Linked DNA regions of Cricetulus griseus. The protein of the gene in region 1 purifies or fractionates together with the protein of each later gene. This does not show direct contact. Links are inferred from orthologs where the notes say so. Each region holds a gene or a part of one and is shown on either strand. Other genes may lie near its edges.

The links.
Region 2: the proteins of Myo1e (region 1) and Ostf1 purify together in Homo sapiens (co-immunoprecipitation; 3 studies listed by BioGRID and IntAct, counting the BioPlex papers as one, with this or other methods). This does not show direct contact. The link is inferred for Cricetulus griseus from reciprocal best matches to the Homo sapiens genes MYO1E and OSTF1.

Annotation. Positions count from the first base shown.
Region 1 is NC_048597.1:181,889,167-181,892,991, reverse strand, and holds part of Myo1e (unconventional myosin-Ie), read right to left. Parts: intron 3,397-3,825; coding exon 3,310-3,396; intron 2,718-3,309; coding exon 2,550-2,717; intron 1,651-2,549; coding exon 1,565-1,650; intron 1-1,564. UniProt on the Homo sapiens protein: Actin-based motor molecule with ATPase activity. Unconventional myosins serve in intracellular movements. Their highly divergent tails bind to membranous compartments, which are then moved relative to actin filaments.
Region 2 is NC_048596.1:42,590,973-42,594,246, forward strand, and holds part of Ostf1 (osteoclast-stimulating factor 1), read left to right. Parts: intron 1-233; coding exon 234-312; intron 313-2,387; coding exon 2,388-2,486; intron 2,487-3,274.

The DNA.
Region 1 (3,825 bases):
CTTTCCATTTTGCTCTTACAGACTTGCTTGTGGCCACTGGTTCCAGCCCATTTGGTGGCTGAGCAATGGGAGCTGCAGACCAGTCCTCAGGAGTCCACAGGGAACTGCTGGACAGACACAGAGGGCACTTCCACGCCTTCAGACCACTGACTCAGGAGCTGGCAAAGTCCATTCTCCCTTGGTCAAAACCTTTTCAGAAAGCACCTTCTCCATCTTCCCAGGGACTCTGCAGAAGCAGAGCTTACGCATGACCTCCAGTGGGCACCCGTGGGAGATGGTGCCACACATACTGAGACCTTACAGGTCAGCATCTACATCAGACCCACTAGGTGAGTTCCCCATTGTTGCACAGGATGGTAATGTCCCCAAAGCACAGAACAGAATCTGTGTTACACAGAGCTATGGTAGCCAGGTTGACATAAGATGCCTCTGTGAGGGGCTGAAGGCCATTCCTGGGTTAAGCCACCATTAGAAGCCATTGCTCTCTGAAGGTTGCTTGAATCTCATTTGTGAATGTTCCAGGCATGAAGCAACCAGCAACTGGAGTGGCTCCAGTGGCAGCCAAACATCAGTGCAGCTCACTGGCCAGTGTTCCTAGAGGTGATGTTGATCTCAGCAGAATTCTCAGTGACAACAAAGGCTTGAGCTGGCAGCAATAGCTTCTCCTAGGTCCTCTTCAGGCTCTTGAAGTAGATGCCATCTCTGTCCCTTTTGTAGATAGGTCAAGAGTGGTGCCACCTAAGAATGTTCCTATGGCAAGGAATGTGAGGACTCCCTTTTCCAACATTTGCAGGACATCAAGGGCTCCAGATGTTAAGTGAGTTTCCCTTTACATTACAATAGGAATCAAGAACAAAGCCACAGGGTTCCCTCCCTGAAAAGTAGGGGAAAGTTCCTCCTAGACTTCTTAGTCTCCAATTGTTTCAGTGATTCAGGGTAATTAGCCACCTTTAAAAATGGAGCCAGCATGGAAAATCCTCTTGGTTTTGTCCCAAGGGCAAAGTATCATAGAAGTAGATTGTTCTATTCTTGCTGATCAGAAATAGCTATTCCAGGCCAGCACCAATATGGCTGCTTCACCCTTCTAACGGTGTTGAAGCCAGACATACGGAGGGCACTTGGGGGAAGGAAACATAATGACAGAAGGGAGAGACAAAGATGAAAGAAGAGAAGCCCTTTTGAGAAAACAATAGTCAAGTTATAAACCAGACTCAACAGTTCTAAAGGAGCCGATGCTAAGCACTCTAACATCACTCTGGTTTGCACGTTGAAACAATACCATCACTGGTTTGTGATGACATGGGGCTGGAGAGGTTAAGAGCATTGGCTGCTCTTCTGGAGGACCTGGGTTCAATTCCTAGCACCCACGTGGTAGCTCACAGACCATCTATAACTCCAGTTCCAGGGGATCTGAGGCCCTCTTCTGTCTTCTGTGTGTACCAGGCATACATGGTACACAGATATACAAGCAGACAAACACCCATACACTTCAAAACAAAACAATAATAACCACAACCCAAGTATACTGCATGCCAGATAAAGCAGATAAAGGGTTCTTTCTTACAGCTCACTGCTCTGCATGAGCTCAATCAGGTCCATGAAAAGCACGTCCCGGTTCCTTTCACAGAAGCCATCCATGTCATAGGAAACCTGGCCAAGAACAGAAAGCAATCAACTTTTATCCTACACATTTCTTTGGTTAAAAGCACCCTTAAGTGGGCACGGCTATCCTCATCGAAGGTGGGCGTTCCTAGTTGCAGCCTTTGAGGTTTCACACTTATGTTGTCACATAAAAGCTGTCAGCTGGCTTCGATGACCCTGACCTAATGGTGGGTGATGAAGATCTGGCTCCCCAGATGATCTGTGAGACTACAGCTCTCAAGAACCCATGTCCATTTGTCTGTGGGCCCCCTAAGCATGTCTGAGAAATACATGAAGTTATTTTTCCTAAGTTCTGACCATGTGAAGAAAAAGAGAGCCCTCGTTCTCACTCATCAAGTATGTCAACTGAGTCGTGAATCGTTCTTAGAAGCCGCATCAGAGCTGTGCCCATCTGCCCTGGACTCGATGCTCAGGGACCATGGTGAACAAGAGACTAGCCGGGAGGAAAGATCTTATCTGTGGAGTTCCATAGGACCAGGAAGCATCCGAGAGCCATGACCCCAAATTCTGTTAGGACCTTACATGGTTGTGTACCCTGCAGGCACCTAGTTACTCACTTTGTAGGGAAAACATTAAAGTTAGTCCCGGTGCCCGTGGGAAAGCAAAGGAATGCAAGTTTGTGATTGCAACTGTCAAGACAAAAGTCTATTGCTTCAGCAGTTGCGATCCACACCACGGAGATTTGTGCTTTATAAAAGCAAGCAGCCCCGTAGACAGGGCTTTGTTTTAACTCTTCAAATTCTTTAAAGGTCCTGTTTGTTGGACGAATAAATAACATGGGTCTCTATTGGTTCATAGGAAAACAAATCCCACCGTTAAAGGCTCAAACTGGAGAGCCTTTAAAATGGGTGGATTCTGGCCCACTGAACTGTGGTCTCGGGCTTTACCTTCCCGGCGTAGTGGTGAATGATGAAGCCTTGGTTCCAGCTGTTGAAGTGCTCATGGCTCCCGATCTGCATCTGGAGCTTCTGCAGCAGTGTCTGGTCAGCACCTTCACCCACAGCATGCATGGTGGCACACACGTCATCCAGGATGCTCATGATTCCAGGAGGGTGCTGGTGGGAACAAGAAGGCAAGGCCCAGGTCACTGACCCCTCAAAATACTGAACACCTATGGGGTCACTTCTTAAGCCAGGAGACTGCCTCCAAGACCCAGATACCATCTTGATCATCAGCTGTTCCTTCCAGGAAGGATGCACTGAGCATTCCCAGAGAAGGTTTTATCATTCAGACCTAAAGATGAAGGAAACTCATTTCCAAGAAGCTAGCTAGCTCTCTAGAGAGCTTTATCTTTATTTATTTGTTTGGTGTATGTGTGTACTCATGTTCCTGTGTATGATGGGGCTAAGGTGTGACCCTTTTTATGCCCCCCCCATTTGCTATGTCATATAACCAAGAGCTAGTTTCTAGAATTCAGGAACAACTTCCATTTGCAAGTTGGCATGTTATACACATCCTTATTTATTGTGGTAATAAAAGCCTATTATTTTATTTTCTTGCTGCACATTTGCACATTACTAGTGTTACTGTTGACATTCTGTACAAGGGTAGTTTCCTAGTCAGCTGAAAAGCAATTGACACCAGGCACAGAGGATGAAATCTCATTGAAGGGTAGACCAGTGAGGGGAACCACGGGCTAGTACTTACAACTTTGCTCTCTATGAGGTCACACACAATTTTATTATTGAAGTATTCAATGGGCGTCCATCTTATTCCCTCCTGAACGTATTCTTCCTGGGTGACAGAAATTGGAAGCTTGCATAAACCACCATGAAAGAGAACCTGCGTCCCTCTCACATACACTAAGAACTTTTCCATCACGAGAGGTGATATGAACAGAACATCTCATAACTTAATGGTTTTTATGTTTCGTTTGTGCAGTAAAAACTGATACCATACAACTGTTACTTGTTGTCATTAGAGACAGGATCTCATGTGTCCCAGGCTGGCCTTGAACTCATTATATATCCAAGGATGACCTTGAACTCCTGATCCTCCTGAGTCCATGTGGTGGTTTGAATAGGAATGGCCCTAACAGACTGGTGTTGGTGGAACTGTTTGTGAAGGATTAGGAAGTGTGGCTTTATTGGAGGAGGTGTGTCACTGGTGGTGGACTTTGAGGCTTCAAAAGACTCCTGCAATTCCCAGTGTGCTCTCCGCCTT
Region 2 (3,274 bases), on another chromosome or scaffold:
GACTGTTGCTGGGTCTCCTCATTTCCTGTTGAGGCCTTGCTCTGCCATGTTAGTTTTCTTCCCCCATCCCTGCCAGAGCAGCTCTTCTCATTGCTTGTTCCTCTTTCCTTTGGAATGCCACATGGTTCTGGAGCTTTTCTCTCAATTTGATTTACATGGGTTAAACATACTACTGTCTTCATCCAGTCCACTTTGTATTTTTATAATACTATTTTCCCTTTCTTTCACCATAGAACAAGCTGGGAGACACAGCTCTGCATGCAGCTGCCTGGAAGGGTTATGCAGACATTGTGCAGTTGCTACTGGCAAAAGGTAAAGTTTTTATTGAATTTATTTGGTTGTTTGCCTTGAAAAATAGCTCCTAGTGAAGGAGGCCATTTGAAATAGTAGGAAGGCTGAGTCTCCTCCTCCTCTACTCCGTCTATAGTACACTGTTATAACTGAGATGAAATTATTGGGGGTGCATTTATGGTACTTTTTACTGTGAATTAAGACCTTGATAAACTTTAGCTCCAAAGCTATACAGAGAGCCCCTGTCTCAAAAAAACCAAAAAAAAAAAAAAAAGACCTGATAAACTTTAAAAGTACATACAAATGTATTAATTTTAGAAGGAACTTGCTGTGCATATCTGTAGGACTGAAGGATTTTAGGAGGCCGGGGTTTTTTAGGACATCGTGTCCTGGGAAAATTGGGATGAAGTTGGTGAGGCTTGTGCTTGCTTGGGAGAGCCTTAATAGAGAGTAGAAATGAATGCTAAGCTGAGCCAGTGCTGAGGTGTTAATGAAGGATGCTTTGATCCCATTGCTTGACCTCGATAGCTTGTGGCTGACTCTGCATCCTGAACTCTCAAGCAAACCTTATTAAATCATAAATAATATATCACCACAGTGTGGTTCAGAGCAAACAGCTAAATCTGGGACTGCTCATCCATTTATCTGCTTGTCCCATAAATATTAACTGCTCTTACAGAGGGCTGGCCAGGCATGTCACTCAGGGACTTGGCCCAGAGGGCAATTCTGTGAAGCCTTTCTCCAAGCCACAAGTTATAGATTCTATCTTTAGGAATCTTTGGGAGCAGTGTTGTGGAATTTATGAGCATGGATGTTTTTGGATTAAGTGAGATGATGATGCAAACCCCTTACTGTGGGGAGTTGCTGGGTTTTCCTAAAGGTCATGCCGAAGGCTATGCTGTCCATTGTGGCAGACACGAGCTGTGTGCTGCTGAGCCACTTAATGTTTTCTTTTCATTCTAGTGAACACTTTAAGTGAACCTGTGAACAAGTTGTTGGGGGAATAGTGCTCATTATACTGTTAGAAATGATGGAAATCAGAAAGAACTGATTCCTGTCAGTAAAGCTGGGATGAAATAAGTTTTACAACATCCACAAAATGCAATACCTATAAATGTTCAGATACGTTGAGTTTTGTGCGTACCTTAACAAGAACGAACCATTATTTAAATACGGTTAAGTTAAAAGTGAAGTTATAAGGCTGGTGAGATGGCTGAGCAGGGAAAGGTGCCTGCCACAAGCCTGGGGACTTGAATTCAGTTCCTGGGACCCATATGGTAGAAGGAGAACATCAACTCTGGGCTTCTATGTGTAGCATGATACAGGTGCCCACAGACATACATACAAAGGGAATGGAATTTAAAAAAATTACATTACACAGCAGCACAAGTAGGTTGCTTTGTGTACATGTTCATATGAGTGCAGATCATTGGCAAACATAAGAGAGACAGCTGGGGCCCACTGGAAGAATGGTCACCTTCGAAGAGCTTAGTTCAGGGGAATCCCATCAGCACTGTTGAGCACGCCTCTGTATTTTTTGTTCCTCAACAATGCAAACAAACATCTCCATGGATTCTGATGTAAGTTTTGGCATAAAGACAAGGGGGAAGATGAATGGAAGAGGGCTTACAGGGACAATGAATTGGGGAACAATGAATTGCCTATGAGTTTTTATTGTTTTGCCATTCTTCTGATTGACATATGAATGCACCTGCATATAAGAAATATTAGTCCCCTGACATTCAACCCAATAGTGTTTTCTACAGGCCCTCATGAACTGAAGGAGAGGCAAAGGGTGCTAGATGGAAGCCCCAAAGCTTTCTGCTAAGAGCTGCATAACCTTTCAGGCCATGGTTGTTTATGGCTGTGTTTTAGGATTTACCCAGGACCTGTAATGGCCTCATTGAAAAGTCCACGTGCAATCCCTGGGAGCTGGGAAGGGAAGGGCAGCTTTAATGGCACTGTGGCAGGCTCTCTGATGAAGTGTGCCAGTCACATTAATTCTTAGCCAGAATTGTTCTCTAGCTTTGACAAAGCATTGGCTAGCGCATTCCAGTCTTCGAAGATACATGGTTTCCTTTTCTTGTGTTGGGAAGGTGCGAGGACAGACTTGAGAAACAATGAGAAGAAGCTGGCCTTGGACATGGCCACCAATGCAGCCTGTGCATCACTCCTGAAAAAGAAACAGGCAACAGGTATTTGTTTTAAGTCACTCTCCTTGCTTATGACCGAGACTTGCCATCTTTCTATTGCAAAGGTTTTTGTTTGTTTGTTTGTTTTGCTTATTTGTTTTTAAGATTTATTTATGGTCTGGAAGGATGACACAGAGGTTAAGAGCATTGGCAGCTCTTCCAGAGGTCCTGAGTTCAATTGTTAGCAACCACATGGTAGCTCACAGCCATCTGTAATAGGATCTGATGCTGTCTTTTGGCGTGCAGCAAACATGAAGATACAATACCATATATATAAAGTAAACAAATCTTTAAAAAAAATCTAAAAAAACGATTTATGTATTTTATATGTGTCTTAGTTAGATTTTCTATTGCTGTGAAGAGACACCATGATCAAGGCAACTTTTATAAGCCCAGATAAATAAATAAATAAATTAATTAATAAATAAATTAATAAATAAATGCAGGCAAAGCTTTGATGGAAGGGACAATGAGAGAGGAAGGGAGGGGTGAGTGTTGGTTGTGTGTGGTGCACTTGTGGCAACGAGAGAACAACTTTCAGGAGTTGGTTCTCTCCTTCTGCTGTGGGATTCGGGAGTTGAACTCAGATGTCAGGCTTGCACTTTCTACTCTCTGAGCCAACTCTCAGGCCCCACTATTGTCTTAGGTTTAATACCCCTCCCAAGAGGCTTACTTTTGCAATTGCTTTGCCTGGCTGCTCACCATTACAAGCCTTGGTGGTACTTTAGTGTCTACAGCTCAGCTGATCCATGTCTGTAGACTCAGAGTTTCCATTACAGAGGTGAAGGACA